4 linked regions of the Danio rerio genome follow. The protein of the gene in region 1 purifies or fractionates together with the protein of each later gene. This does not show direct contact. Links are inferred from orthologs where the notes say so. Each region holds a gene or a part of one and is shown in the gene's direction. Other genes may lie near its edges. The genes, in order: prpf4, mepceb, gphnb and ddx23.

Region 1 (4,324 bases):
CGGAAATGGCTTTCTTTGCTCTGCATCAGGTGCACAGCAGCAAGAAGCTTAGCAGTGAACTATGACCTTATTTTAATGACAAATGTCTAAGAATACTGCTTTATGTTTTTATTTAATTTATACATACGCAATGAATGTAAGCCTGCTAACTGTGTGTGGTTCAAATGATAGAATATGTAAACTTAGTTAATATATAATTAAATAATAACAATTAAAAGCCTGCGTGTAAGGCTTTTATTTTGAAGGTGACGTCACGAGCGCAGATTTGGTTGACCAATTAGAGGAAAGTGGGCGTTTCAGCACCGCCTACATGTGTAAAATGAATTTTAAAGTCGTTTATCCGTTTTCCTACCCTAAACCAAAAAACGAAAATCCAGCCAAAATCTCGTTTTTTCGTTTTCTCGTGAGCAACGTAAACGAAAACGTACACGGAGCTTTTAGGACTTGCATTCGAATATTTTGAGACTTTGGACTCAAAAACACTGATTAATAATGCACTACAGAAATTGGGTATAACTAGGCCCATACGAAATCTGTGCACACAGAATTTCCACAGATATTTTTGCCCATCATAAATTTATATTTAATCTGTTTCTAAGTTAATTTCAGTAATATTATTGACTAATATAAAACATATTTATATTATTTATTTACAATATAGTTTGTAAAGTAATATTTTCTGTCTTTTAGTAGATTTATTATATACAAGACTTGCTTTCTTTACAAAACAAAGTGTATCTAAATGAATGTGCATTGTAAACATTAAATACAAGTTAAAATATATTACTTTTTATTATATATAATAAATCTTTAGTTATGATGCTCACAAAAACATTCTGCATAAATCCGCAGATTTTTAAAAAATTCTCCGCAGAAATAGGAAAAAAACGTCTGCAGTTTCCGTCTGGTCCGAGGTAACTTTAGATGTAGCCACTCACTTTCTGATATAATTCCTTTTCTAAAAATTATATTTTTCTTGGTTTATTAGGGAAAGATGTTGATTTTCAATTTGTATTGAACAATTCTAATTTGGGGGAAATGTTATATTCATAAATGCAAGTGCCTTAAAAATAAACACTATTTTTAGTTTTCCAAAATGATATTTGGCTATACTGTAAATCTTTAAAGTTGATAAAATCAAAATGTGGAAGAAGATTGTTTAGTTTATTGGAAAAAAATCTAAATAATACAAGACACGGTGTACATGTTTTTTTCTTCTTTCTTTCTTTTAGTTGTGATTGTTCTATGGTTTAAGAGTATCATTTGTATTTATATTTTATAGATTTTTTATTTGATCTCTGTTCTAAATATGTAGATGATAGTTGTTATTCGATTTTTGCCTTATTGAAATTGTGTTATAATCAGGGTTATAATGCAAAAAGCAACAACTCTGTGACATAATTCCGACCGCTAGAAGTCACTATTTATTTCCATGACGGTAAAAGTCAAGAAGGCGGATATGACGACATACTGTGCGCCGAGTAGCCCGCGTCGTGTGGTCGTGTTTGTGGATTTTATCACAGCACTATCTTACAAAACAAGCTGCTTTTAAAGGAAGCTTCGTTTGTTTGGTAAAGGGTAAGGGATTAGTGAAGAGTTAATGTTTATCTTTTATGAGTTTGTCTTGGTTTCGGTAAAATTAGTCTTATTTTTTTGAACACCCTGCAAAATAATAATACTGTGGTACAGTGAAGTAACTTTGCGGATGTAACATGCATGCTGGGGCTTTCATAACTTACATAGATATTTACATTAGATGTCACTTACACTATTGGTCTCTGATGTTAATGCCTTTTTTTTTGGATTAGGTGTTGTTGGACAAATATCAGGAAAGATGTCAGATGAAGATGAAGCTCCAGTTGTGAAAAGGTCCAGGATCTTCTATGGAAGCCTTGAGGAAAAGGAGAAGGAGCGTCTCAGCCGTGAAGGGACATCCACCACTGCCAAAGATGCCGTTAAAGCTGGCATTGAGGCTGGACATATTAATATCTCCAGTGGTAAACTTGATATTTTTAAGCTCGGATGTTTCAATTAGCGCATCTTCGGGACATTTGGATCTTTTTGCTGTATTTTTTATTGATTGTTATTAAGGAAACACCAGACTGACCTGTGCATTGTTTAATTTAAAGATGAACTGGACTTTTTCATATATTTATTATCCGCATAAATCTGCATTTCTTTGCATTCAACTCTTTATTGATTGTTATAAAGTAAACTCCAGAATAATCTCTATATTGTTCAATTTAAAGATAAACAGTTACTGGACTTTTCAATATATTTATTATCACGTAATTTTAAATAAGTTACATTTCTCGAAACATGAGTTTTAAATGTGATGCATAATAAGATGTTTGTGAGGGTTATTTGTACTACACCTCATTGCAGCTTAAAGTTTGCCTCTTTAAGAAAAACTACAGATCTTGGCTTATAAAACTAAGCATTTAAATATCACTTTCAGTCATTTGGAGATAGTGTGACAGCTGATATCTGTGCTTCTTATGGAAGTAGTCTGCTGTATTATAAATATGTAATAGATTCAGCAGAGTTTCAAAACATCTTACTCTTTGGCCATATAAATAACATCATCAGTACTAAACTGAATATTTTTGCTCATTTTGGTCCTCAAAATATTTTTCCCTCCGTTGAGTATGATATTGTAATTATACCATCTTACATACAGTTTCTAAATTAATGACCCTCCAGATAAATTATGCTTTTTCAAAATTTCCCCAGGTAATTTTACAGTATTTCCTATAATATAGTTTTAAATTGTTTTTGAATAAAATGAAACGTTTTAATAAATAGTGCAACAATTTTTAAGGTCATTATTATTAGCATTCCCTTGATAAAAAATAGAAATAAATCTTTTCTTTCTTTAGCGCCACTTGTGAAATATAAAAAAAAAATGTAATTATCAAAAAGAATTATTGTTTGTTATTTAGCTATATATATATATATATATGTATATGTATGTATGTATGTATGTATGTATGTATGTATGTAGATAGATAGATAGATAGATAGATAGATTTATATACAAAAACTTAATCACATCAGTCATAGCAATTTTCATCCTCTATTATTTTTGTATGTATTTAGGGATAGTGCATAAAACACTTAATGTATACACAAAGACAATAAAAAACATTTAAAAAATGTTTTGTGGAAATCGTTTTGTTTTTATGTAGTAATAAAACATGAAAACAAATAGTGAAATAATGGGCGCACAAAAAATGGTTAACTGAACTAACTAGATGAGTAGTTTAATTGCACATCATCTCAAATGCAGTTTTAACAATGTGGTCTGTTATCAAAATGTCATTTTCATTTAAAATTCACAACTTTTACTTTGCTTTCTAATCATGTGATGTTTCTATCGTCAGGTGAGTCCATGGAGATGGAGGAGCGTGTGAGCGAGAGACAGGCTGAAGTGCTGGCAGAGTTTGAGCGCAGGAAGAGAGCCAGACAGATCACCGTCTCTACTGATGATGTAGAGGTGAAGGCCTGCCTTCGTGCACTTGGAGAACCAATCACATTGTTCGGGGAGGGGCCTGCAGAGAGACGAGAGAGGTCAGTGGCTGTAAAAGCATTGCATTTTGTTCTGGATTTAAAAACTGCTAATTTAAAGGGGTAGTTGCACAATAAGTGCAAAAGTAATTTTTTTTTCACTATTTCCTTTTTTATTTCATTTTTCTGCTGAACATAAAACAAGATTGTCTTAAGAATGTTAGGGAAAAAGCAGTCATCGCACCAAAACTAATTACAATGTAAGTGAATTATAACAGAGCAAACTTTTCTGTAGTTGTAGTAGTGCTGTGCGTTATTTGTTTAAACCTTTAAGGTTAGCTTACATGCTGGCTGACTGGCAGGGCTGCGTGAGGTTAGCAAACATGATGTAGCTTTCATTTTCAGTTATAAGGAGCACAGTTTCCATAATTATACTTCTAGAAAAAGGTCTGTGGTTCTGCATACAATGACTTTATCTTGCTGAAGTTTATGGCTGTTTCACCTTACTTTAGGACGCATTAATGCTGCTCTGTAGGTCTGTTGGAGACTTTCATAAATATTCCTAGCAGATCTAGTAAATGTTGGAGATACTTGTTACATAAACGCACTAAATCGCACTTCAACAGGGTTTATTTGAGAGTGCACAAGAAAATCTGTGCTTGAGCAGCATATATTTGAGGGTGTGCAAGAAGTTTTTGTGCACAAACAGCATATCTGCGACCAAGCAAAGAGATTTGCATGCTCGTATTACATTAATGCGATCTGAACTTGAAATACTGGGCTTACGATATTTGTCATTGAAATAACGCCATAGGTA
Region 2 (4,242 bases), on another chromosome or scaffold:
CAGAGATGCTCTTCTGCAGAGCTCGGTTGTAACGAGTGCTTATTTGAGTTACTGTTGCCTTTCTATCAGCTGGAACCAGTCTGGCCATTCTCCTCTGGCATCAACAAGGCATTGTTGGCACATGCTGCCTTGTGATTGGCTGATTAGAAATTTGCGTTAACGAGCAGTTGGACAGGTGTACCTAATAAAGTGGCCGGTGAGTGTATATGTAGGGGAGAAGTCAAAAATACATTGAATTAGTCAAAATTATTTTTTATTCTATGCCAAAAATCATTAGTATAAGTGATCATCATCATACATCGAGACGTTTTATACATGTCTATATTGTAAATATATCAAAACTCATTTTTTGAATAGTAAAATACATTGCTAAGACCCTAATTTGGACAACTTTAAAGGTGATTTTCTCAGTGTATAATACCATTATCTACCTTCAAATTTCAGAATAGTCATTTTAATTTATTCATATGTTATCAAAAATAGTTCATTTTGGCATTAAAAAAGACATACCTAGGGGAATGCTTATTTATTCAGCTTATTTTTCTAAAACTCAACACTTATGACTTGTTTTGTGTTCCAGGGTCACATATATGACACTCTTATTGTAATATATTTCTATACCTTTAGTTAGCTATCTCTTCTTCTCTCTTGTCTGTAAATAAGCTAAATGTGTGTAATTTAGGCCATTTACACCAGTCCTGCCAAACAAAAATAATGATTTAATAATGCATACACTGAATCCACTGACTCAAGTGGGTTTTCTTTCACAATAATCAAAATAATGAATCATATTATGCTGTTATTTTCTTGTTTTTGGCAACAGGTTCAGATCAAAAGGACTACATCTCCCAGAAGTCTCCTCCTCCTGCAGCAGAGTGGGAGGGTCTCTTTAAAACTCGCAGAGGCGCTAATTCCATACGATATAAAATGCTAATATGACATAAGTCATGTTTTATTAGTTATCCGATCATTAGTCGTTGTTATAAGCGTAAATTCAGCGCGGAAGAACTCTCACAGGGGTTGTTTACACATGTGACGACTGCCTGTTTCGAGTTCCCGAACGTTCTCCAAAGCAGAATTATGGGATTCTGCTCAAACACATACTCTTGTTAAATAAACAAATGCATTTTGTCGTCAATTTGTTATATTTTACTGATTTTGACGATAATATTTAGTGTCTAACGGGTCAATTCAGGCAGTCCGCTGGATACCTATTAAAAGAGGAGGGGCGGTGACTGCGAGCACATGCCTTCATTTAAAGCTCCGCCATTGGTTGTTCGAGGGGCCTTAACGTATATCGCGCTTTCTGATTGGCAGACGCGACTGTCCGTCAGGCTTGGTCTGTGGTGGAATATATAAGCGCGCTGGTCTGCTGTGCCACAGGGCGAGATGGAGCACTGCGAGTTCAAGCGCTCATGAACATTCGACAGATCAAAGTCTATTTTTAATCAGCACCATTTTAGCAAAGTGTTTTTCATATCTGCAGTAGCGCGAGTCAAGTGCAGCTGTGTGTTTACGTAGCTCTAATGAGCGCGGGTCTGTGTACATAGTGTGTCGTGTGCGCTGTTTTTGTTTGATTTTTGGCGTTCGTGTTTACTCTCAGCGCGAGAGAGCCGGAGAAAATATCTCGCTCAGTACTGTGTGTGTGTGTCTGTGTTAACGGACGTGTGCGTTTGTGTCGGAAAGGGGGGGAGCTTTCGAGAGTCGCGTTTCCGTTGCATTATTCATGAGCGTCGCGGTAGCCCCGCCCATAGGCGGAGTTAGTTAAATTAACGCGCCGTGGAGCTGTTAGATGAGCCAAATGTAACACGTGGGTCACAAGCACATCAGTGCCCATAAAACAATACAGAAAGCAGGCTCAGAGTAGTCAAGTAAGTACTCATCTGCAAGCGTCACACATTTATATCTTGTATATTGTACTTGAATGGTGTGTTTCTGTGTTTCCAGCGGCTGATGGATGTCTACTGTGATGTCAGTGCAAAGTGAGCTTCCTATTGCTGGTGGGGCAGCAGGTTTACTGGCCCACCCGCCGTCCCCACTGCAGACCATTAAAGATGAGGTGACCGCTAACATTGTGCTAACCGAACTCGCAGCCAATCACGTGACCCCACAGGATGGGGTTACCGCCGAGGGGCCCTTTCAGATTAAAAATGGCCTACAAACTCGAACTGAAGTGCAGACGCAGAAACTGGCGCAGAAGCGGCGCTACAGTATGAACGTGGCGTTCAAACATCCGAGTCTCGGTAAGCGAAGACGCCGCGCCAATTCTGAATGCGATCCTGTGCTTCCTACTAACTTCCTGCTGGGCGGGAATATATTTGATCCGTTAAACCTCAACAGCCTATTGGACGAGGAGGTCAGTAAAGCGCTTAATGCCGAAACGCCCAAATCATCGCCACTCCCCTCTAAAAACCGAGACCCGGTGGAGATTCTCATCCCGAAAGATATTACAGACCCGCTGAATTTAAGCGGCAGGGGCGGAGATTCGGCTGCCGGTGTGTTGGTTTCTCCAATGAAGATCAGACGCAGACACCGCAACCGCCATCATCCTGGAGCGACCACAGGCGTTGCCGACCAATCAGATTGTGAGAAGTCAAAAACCAATGAAACGACATTATTTCCTGTAGCTAATCCTGAAGAGGCTGCGAACAGTGCCGTTCTTCCGCCTGTCGAGGAGTCGCCGCGTCCGTATGAGCTCAACACCTCGATTAATTGCCGCGATGAAGTGGTGCAACCTATTCTGCCACGGCGTAAGTCACACCCCTCTGCGTCTAGCTCCGCCCCTCAATTACTCTCTAGGTCCGCCTCTGCGCCCCATCCGTCCAAACATCGGAAGCGCAGACGAACTGTCAGTCGCTCGGACTCTCGCCTGTCAATCACACCAACTCCGCCCACCAAGCGGCTAATCACACACACTCAAACCTTTCACACTCCAGTTATAGGCGGAGCCAGCGGAGCTCCTCCCTTGGGGGCGGAGCGAAGCCATGAACAGCAGCGCAGGCCGCGGCGCAAATACCATAATGGAGCCTACAGCCGTTACTATGGCTACCGCACACCATCGATGACCGACGACCCACGATTGGCTCTTTTTAATCCCGAATGGTTCTCTGGAAAAAAAGTTCTAGATGTGGGCTGTAACACGGGTCATGTGACCCTTGCCATCGCCAAACACTGCAGCCCCGCCCACATCCTGGGCTTGGACATTGATGGCGCGCTGGTGCAAGCCGCCCGCCAGAACCTGCGCCATTTCCTGTCGGAGCTGCAGGACAGGCAGCAGGCGGGAGCAGGTGAGGGGTCAGAGGTCACGGGGCTGGTGCCGCTGATGGACCTGCAGCTGGTGTTACCCAGGTTTCCTGTCTCCTTCATGCGCTGCCGCGGACCCATCGCCGCTCCTCCCATAATGCATCAGTCTCCAGGCCAGTTCCCCAGCAACGTCTGCTTCCTGAAGGTACACTAACATAGCTGAAGCAGCAGATCTTCCTGACGTGTGTGTGTGTGTGTGTGTGTGTGTGTGTGTGTGTGTGTGTGTGTGTGTGTGTGTGTGTGTGTGTGTGTGTGTGTTATTGGATGTATAATTAATGTTTGGATTTTGCACACACAAACATCTGTCTGTATTTCTATATATGGAATCTATCTATCTATCTATCTATCTATCTATCTATCTATCTATCTATCTATCTATTCATCCATTCATCTATCTATCTATCTATCTATCTATCTATCTATCTATCTATCTATCTATCTATCTATCTATTCATCCATTCATCTATTTATCTATCTATTCATCCATTCATCTATTTATCTATCTATCCATCCATCCATTCATCTATCTATCTATCTATCTATTCATCTATCTATCTATTCATCCATTTATCTATCTATCTATCTATCTATCTATCTATCTATCTATCTATCTATCTATCTATCTATCTATCTATCTATCTATTCATCCATTCATCTATTTATCTATCTATCCATCCATCCATTCATCTATCTATCTATTCATCTATCTATCTATTCATCCATTCATCTATCTATCTATTCATCTATCTATCTATTCATCCATTCATCTATCTATCTATCTATCTATCTATCTATCTATCTAACTCTATTCATCTATCTATCTATCTATCTATCTATCTATCTATCTATCTATTCATCCATTCATCTATCTATCTATCTATCTATCTATCTATCTATCTATCTATCTATCTATCTATCTATCTATCTATCTATCTATCT
Region 3 (4,014 bases), on another chromosome or scaffold:
GGTTCACTCACTATTCTGCCGCCTAGGTCGCCTCTATGCACGTGCCGTCCCTGAACACACGTCGGCCACAACAGAACATTAAAAAAACTGCAATTGCGTCATTTGCGTTATTTTTTTAACGCATTAAATATTTCAAATTAATCACATGTGTTAACGCGCTAATTTTGACAGCTCTAATATATATATATATATATATATATATATATATATATATATATATATATATATTCATTCATTTTCTTGTCTTGTTTTTTTATTCTGAAGTCGCCACAGCGGAATGAACCGCCAACTTATCCATCATGTTTTTACAGAGCGCTTCCAGCCGCAACCCATCACTGGGAAACATCAATACACACTCATTCAATCACACACTCCTACACTACAGTCAATTTTATCCTATCCAATTCTTTGGACTGTGGGCAAAACCGGAGCACCCAGAGGAAACCCACATGAACGCGGGGAGAACATGCAAACTCCACACAGAAATGGCAACTGACCCAGCCGAGGCTTGAACCAGCGACCTTCTTACTGTGAGGCGAACGTGCTACCCACTGCACCCCTCATGTCGCCCCATATATATATATATATATATATATATATGTGTGTGTGTGTGTTTTAAACACCAGATGCCCTTCCAGCCACAACCCAGTACTGGGAAACACTCATACACACTTATTCACACACACTCATACACTACAGCCTAATTAGTTTACCCAATACCCCTATAGCGCATGTGTTTGGACTGTGGGGGGAAACCGGAGCACCCGGAGGAAATCCACACCAACACAGGGAGAACATGCAAACTCCACAGAAATGACAACTGGCTCAGCCTGGGCTCGAACCAGTGACCTTCTTGCTGTGAGGTGAATGTGCTACCCACTGCGCCACAGTGTCGCTTTTATCAGTGTTTTATTTGTGTTGTGTTGTTTTATTTGTAGTTGGGTTTTATTTATTTTTTATTTAATTATATTTGTGTTTTATTTTAATTTGTGTTTTTTTTTTGTATTTATGTTGTATTTTATTTTTGTTTTATTATTATTATTATTATTTAGTATTTTATTTTTAAGTTTTGTCTATTTCCCCAGTGAGCGCTGAATCTGGGTTCTGCTGCTCTGGCCTGCGCGCTTCCCTCTCTCCCCCTCCAGAGTTCGATGCGCTCGGCTCTCGGCTCTGCCTGGAGTTCTCAGTGCGGCGACAGCGGTGCTGAATATGGCGTCAGACGGGATGATTTTAACAAACCACGACCACCAAATCCGGGTCGGCGTCCTGACAGGTAAAGGCCAAAACCCTTCAAATCATCGTGCGGTTTCTTTCGGGGAAAAGCACTTGCGGTTTTCCAGCTGTTTGCCAGCGGAGCCTCTCCTCCCCAAGCGTGTGTGTGCGTGCATGTGTGTGTGTGTGGCATGTGTGTGTGTGTTTGTGTGTTACTCTGCTGGTCAGCGGTGATTTAAAGCCCTTTTCTCTTCCAGAGATTCATTTACCGGCCAAACGACTAAACAATCCCTCTTCTAGCTTATATGCATGCGTGACAGTGTTTTGAAATCTCACGAGAGGATGGAGTTTTATCTGCTCAATTCTTCATTTTCTCCTTTAAATGAGCGCATTCTCCACATTTGCTTCAGTGAATGCTGTATTATTTGTGAAGTACCTGCAGTCATCTGGTGTGATCGGTGCTGAAGATGTGATTTACTGTCAGAGACGGTGGATGCAGTGGGCTGATATTAGTGAGGACGGCTGTGAATCGTGGGCTGAATGCTGGTTTCCTCTCTGCATGACAGCCTTGTTAATGCAAACATGCCTTCGCCGGTGATTTCCATCCGTGCTTCATGTTTTGCCAGTGGTGACGAGTGAAACGCTCGAGCGAAGGCTGTGCAGTTTGCGATTTAATTTCATTGCTGTGTAATAATAATTAAATAAATCAATCAATCAAATGCATGCACTGAACGATAGCATTTAAGGCTTGAAATCTCTTGCATTAGCAGGATAATGCAGCTTTGGGAAAAGAGGAAAAAAACGCGGAGGCCGCGGATTTTCGTGCGATGTGATTGGTGATAACCCTCTGATGGAAATCCGCTAGTGAAGGTGGTAATGTGCAGAGAAGGAGAGGCAGAGGAGCTCCATCCAGCTCTTAGGGAAACCCCGCTTCACCTCCCCCCTCCTCACTGCTGTAGAGCGGGGAAACCAGCAGCAAAAGCGGCGGTGCCTCGGAAATGCAGCGGCCGCTTGATAAGCGCTGTCCATGGTGCTGAAATACGCCGGTCACTGCTTGTGCGCTGTCCGCGGTGCTGAAGTACATTTGCAGCTGGATTGTGCGCGGATTTAACATTCTTCGGCCGCTGGATTTGCACTTTCCGCGGTGCATAAATACCGCGGTGCTGAATTTCAGCTAGCGCTGTACATATACTGCTGAAATGCACCCGACGGTCACTCGAGTATTTCCTTACATGTTCTCCTCTGTCATTTAGCCGATGCTTTTAGCTAGCTAAAGGGAGGACGTGTCCCTGCAGTGTTCAGATTAGTGGTCAAGGATATGGGTTTGATGCATGACTACAGTCCAGTACAATAGGACCCCAAATGTAATTACAGCCTTGCTTTTATCAATGCATTCATTACAGGAAAAGTCCCATGGGAGAAACCTGAGCATATTTGTTCTGCATCAAATCTCAGTGTGCTTGAACATACAATAGCCGGATATTTAACTACTAAAGGGAATTCACAGGGTTTATATCTTTTCCAAAGTTTGAACACAACCATTTTGTTACCAGGACATAGTTAATTAATTTTCAATGAAAACACGGCTGCTGGCGTATTGACCTGCATTGTTCTGAACACATTTATCACAGCGTTTATCACAGTTATTCAAAAGCTACAGTGTAATGTGAGATTAACAGCGGTGCTGAAATACAGCGGCCGCACGATGAGTGCTTTTGCAGTGCTGAAATGCAGCAGTTCTCACAGAGTGCTCTCCGTGGTGCTGACGTTTGGCTAACTCTTTACATATAGTGTGAAATACAGGTGTCGGTCACTCGAGTATTTCCTTACATGTTCTTCTCTGTCATTTAGCCGATGCTTTTAGCTAGCTAGAGGGAGCACGTGTCCCTGCAGTGTTCAGATTAGTGGTCAAGGATATGGGTTTGATGCATATGCACAGTCCAGTACAATAGGACCCCAAATGTAATTACAGCCTTGCTTTTATCAGTGCATTTATAACAGGGTAAGTCCCATGGGAGAAACCTGAACACATTTGTTCTGCATCAAATGCATCAAACCTCAGTGTGCTTGATCCTACAACAGCCTGATATTTAACTACTAGAGGAAATGTATAGGTGGTATAGTTTGGACACATAACCATTTTGTTACCAGGGCATAGTTAATTGATTGTCAAAGCAAACAAGGGTGCTAGTGTATTGACCTGCATTGTTTTGAACTCATTTCATTCACAGAATGCTTTTATTGCAGTATTTATTACAGTTTTACAAACACTACTGTCAAATTTAAGGGTTAACCACAGTGCTGAAATACAGCGGCCGCACAATGTACGCTGTCCATGGTGCTAAATTTGGGTTAACACTATACATATAGTGCTGATGGGCCAGAGTCACTTGGGTATTTCCTTACATCAGGGGTCACCAATCTCATTCCTGGAGGGCCGGTGTCCCTGCAGGGTTTAGCTTCAACTTCCCTCAACCACCTGCCTGGGTGTTTCAAGTATACCTAGTAAGACCTTGATTAGCTTGTTCAGGTGTGTTTGATTAGGGTTGGAGCTAAAATCTGCAGGACACCGGCCCTCCAGGAACAAGTTTGGTGATCCCTGCCTTACATGTTCTCCTCTGTCATTTAGCCTATGCTTTTAGCTCGCTAGAGGGAGGACGTGTCCCTGCAGTGTTCAGATTAGTTGTCAAGGATATGGGTTTGATGCATATGTACAGTACAGTACAATAGGACCCTAAATGAGATTACAGCCTTGCTTTTATCAGTGCATTTATTACAGGGAAAGTCCAATGGGAGAAGCCT
Region 4 (3,290 bases), on another chromosome or scaffold:
AAAGGTGCTCAATTTGATTGAGTTCTGGTGACTGTGGAGGCCATTTGAGTACACTAAACTCATTTTCATGTTCAAGAAGCCAGTTTGAGATGATTTGCGCTTTATGACATGGTGTGATATCTTGCTGGAACTAGCCATCAGAAGATTGGTACACTGTGATCATAAAGGGATGGATATGGTTAGCAACAATACTCGTGCTGTGACATTGACACGATACTCAATATGTACTAATGTGCCCAAAGTGTGCCAAGAAATTAGCTAGACACTATGTTCTTAAAGGGATGGGCATGGTCAGCAACAATATTCTGAGGTAGGCGGAGGCGTTTACACTATACTCAATTGGTACTAATGGGCCAAAACTGTGCCAAGAAAATATCCCCCACACTATTACACCACCACCAGCAACCTGAACCGTTGATATAAGACAGGATAGACCTTACATAATTACTGTATTTATATAGAGTTTTTATGATTTATGATAATCTTTTTGTCATCAAAAACAGAATAATTTTACTTATTTAGGGAAAAAGTCAGTGTAATTTAATGTAAACTTCTTTCTCCCGAAGTTGAAAACAAAAAAATACTTTTACTATTTTAAATATGTAAATAATTCTTTAGATATTTGGACTGAAAACGAGACAAAGCAAAGTAAGAAAAGCTTTTTTTGCATTGTGTTTATTTAATTTCTCTACCTAAATACTGTAACGACTCCCCTGAGGTCCATCAAATAGAGCTATTAAACTATCTTGAGAAACCGTAATAAAATATCAATGTTTATTGCAGAAATTGTAAAAATTCCCTAGTTCAAAGTCACTCAACTCCTATTTATTCCAAGTTCCGATGCTTGAGCAGATCATCTTGACCACGTCTACATGGCTAAATGCATTGAGTTGCTGCTATTTGATTGGCTAATTAGAAATTTTGATTAAAATAAATTGTCTACTAAGTGTAATAAATTCGCAAGCGTCCTTTCTGTTGCTTTCTTTTATGTTTCATTTTCCTAAATGTCTTTGTATTGCATGAGATTGTATCATATTATATCTCTTGTGTTTCAGACGGTCATGTTTACGGCTACTATGCCTCCTGCAGTGGAGCGTCTGGCCAGAAGTTACCTCCGTCGGCCGGCGGTGGTGTACATCGGCTCTGCAGGCAAACCCCACGAGAGGGTGGAGCAGAAGGTCATCCTCATGTCCGAGGGTGAAAAGAGGTCAGAACACGTTAACCCATCATTTGTCGAAATGAGTAGTTTTTATTCAAGCGCACTTTGTCCAAAAAATGTTCTTCAGTTTTTAATTGACAAATGTTTTCTTGTGGCGAACAGGAAGAAGCTTCTGGAAGTTTTGGCAAGTGGCTTCGAGCCGCCCATCATCATCTTCGTTAACCAAAAGAAGGGTTGCGATGTGCTTGCTAAATCTCTGGAGAAGATGGGAGTGAGTACACTGTGTTAAGTGCTGTCTGTAATGCTTTACAGGAGTAAATTCTTAAAATTTGTTGTTTTGCTTCTTGATTCTGATTGGTGGAGCTGCAATTGAAGTTGCTGTAACATACTTTACACACATAGAGCTGTAATTGTTGAAATGAATGTTGAATTTGAATGTATAATTGTGAAATGAAGACATGGTTTACATTGAATGTGTAACAGCTTGGCAGTTTTAGGCACTCTGCTTCACAACATGCCCAACAACATTCCTTAGATGTTATAAACTTACTGTAAACCGTGGCTTCGAAATGCTTATTGGTGATGAAGGGGTGGGACCCATGATCTGGAAACAGAGCTTACCGCTACCTAGGCAGTTTTTTGGGACACCATAGCAGCATTTTTTTTATGTCAAGATGGCAAAAAATGCTATCTTCCTAGGCGCATAATGTTTAAAAAGCCAACCAATCTGATTTTGATATTAAAGATGTACATAATAATAGCAAACAGCCATATTTAGACAGACTTGGTAAGCAAATCTATGAGAGCTGCAAATTCAGGAAGAAAATGGACATCTGCCTGTTATAGCTCAACGTAGATCGTGAAGCATTACTAAATAAAATACAACTTTTTTAAAAGAGATTTTATGACATACTGACCTGCTGGTAATTAATCAGTGACTCAATCTTTCTTTTTTCCCCTCTTCTGCAGTACAATGCTTGCACACTTCACGGTGGTAAAGGTCAGGAACAGAGAGAGTTCGCTCTTTCCAACCTGAAGGCCGGAGCCAAAGACATCCTGGTGGCCACAGATGTGGCAGGCAGAGGAATCGACATTCAGGACGTCTCGATGGTCTTAAACTACGACATGGCCAAGAACATCGAGGGTGAGTTTAACATCATCTCTGCCACTTTTTTCATAAAGCAGAACTCGTGGTCATATTTTCTCATCAATTTGACCGTAGGACTGGGTGATGCTATGATAATGGTAATTATTGCAATATTTTTTTTAACTGTTTCAATTGAATGTGAACAATGAGGAAGGTCCTACATGACTGAAACGTTTGTATGACTCTTGTTGGTTTTTATTGGACACATCAAGTATATTATCCATTTCATTAATTTAGTTTTTGTTTATTTATTTTTTTGCTCTTCATTGGATTCTGTTATTGACAATGGTCTTGCATGTGAAATAAATAAAGCGCAATATCCTCTTTTTTCTATTTTAAGCATTAAACAGAACTTTTCATCCATATTTTAAACTGGGGTTAATGATGAAATTTTGATAATTATGAAAATATAATTTTTCTTTGTTTAAAAAAAAAAAGTTGAAAACTATACTGTCATTCTAATGTAGTACTAAGGAAACTTTGCAGCAGATGCAATGATATTAAGCACTGCCTGAAAATTAACTAACTTCCATATTCCAGTTCAAATAGCTACGGTTCAGGATTAGGGATGCAACGATTAACTGATTTCACTACTAACAGTGCTTTAATTCGTCTCAGTTAATTAATTGTAAAAGCTTCACAACATCGCGTTTCTGTTGCACGCAAAGAACTGGTGCAACTAAACAAAGCTATGCTAACTGGACTCATGGCACCTGGCTTGTGCGTAGTCATGCATTCATACCTTTGCGTGCTGTTTGTGTTGCTTTGCAACAACACTTCTGAAACGCTAGCTGGCAGTAGGTTTTTATGTTCCTCTGTGTCGAGTTTCTTCACAGGTGTTTTGTTTTTTCTGAACGCTACAAGTAGTTAAAACTTGCTCATTTAGAGGCAGGAACCAACAGAAGTGCAACAACTTTAATTGTAAATTAAACAGAAAAGAAAAGTTTGCATCTGGAGCTCTTCCACGGGACTCGGCGTTTGTAA

What was found.
Region 2: the proteins of prpf4 (region 1) and mepceb purify together in Homo sapiens (affinity purification with mass spectrometry; 4 studies listed by BioGRID and IntAct, with this or other methods). This does not show direct contact. The link is inferred for Danio rerio from reciprocal best matches to the Homo sapiens genes PRPF4 and MEPCE.
Region 3: the proteins of prpf4 (region 1) and gphnb purify together in Homo sapiens (affinity purification with mass spectrometry; 3 studies listed by BioGRID and IntAct, counting the BioPlex papers as one, with this or other methods). This does not show direct contact. The link is inferred for Danio rerio from reciprocal best matches to the Homo sapiens genes PRPF4 and GPHN.
Region 4: the proteins of prpf4 (region 1) and ddx23 purify together in Homo sapiens (affinity purification with mass spectrometry; 4 studies listed by BioGRID and IntAct, counting the BioPlex papers as one, with this or other methods). This does not show direct contact. The link is inferred for Danio rerio from reciprocal best matches to the Homo sapiens genes PRPF4 and DDX23.

The regions. Positions count from the first base shown.
Region 1 is NC_133180.1:62,701,664-62,705,987, forward strand, and holds the start of prpf4 (U4/U6 small nuclear ribonucleoprotein Prp4), read left to right. Parts: upstream 1-1,482; 5' UTR 1,483-1,578; intron 1,579-1,808; 5' UTR 1,809-1,834; coding exon 1,835-1,997; intron 1,998-3,383; coding exon 3,384-3,570; intron 3,571-4,324. UniProt on the Homo sapiens protein: Plays a role in pre-mRNA splicing as component of the U4/U6-U5 tri-snRNP complex that is involved in spliceosome assembly, and as component of the precatalytic spliceosome (spliceosome B complex).
Region 2 is NC_133198.1:47,985,412-47,989,653, forward strand, and holds the start of mepceb (7SK snRNA methylphosphate capping enzyme-like), read left to right. Parts: upstream 1-1,381; 5' UTR 1,382-1,871; intron 1,872-1,947; 5' UTR 1,948-1,957; coding exon 1,958-3,448; intron 3,449-4,242. UniProt on the Homo sapiens protein: S-adenosyl-L-methionine-dependent methyltransferase that adds a methylphosphate cap at the 5'-end of 7SK snRNA (7SK RNA), leading to stabilize it.
Region 3 is NC_133195.1:54,118,058-54,122,071, forward strand, and holds the start of gphnb (gephyrin b), read left to right. Parts: upstream 1-1,209; coding exon 1,210-1,273; intron 1,274-4,014. UniProt on the Homo sapiens protein: Microtubule-associated protein involved in membrane protein-cytoskeleton interactions. It is thought to anchor the inhibitory glycine receptor (GLYR) to subsynaptic microtubules.
Region 4 is NC_133198.1:15,736,488-15,739,777, reverse strand, and holds part of ddx23 (probable ATP-dependent RNA helicase DDX23), read left to right. Parts: intron 1-1,055; coding exon 1,056-1,207; intron 1,208-1,321; coding exon 1,322-1,430; intron 1,431-2,128; coding exon 2,129-2,303; intron 2,304-3,290. UniProt on the Homo sapiens protein: Involved in pre-mRNA splicing and its phosphorylated form (by SRPK2) is required for spliceosomal B complex formation.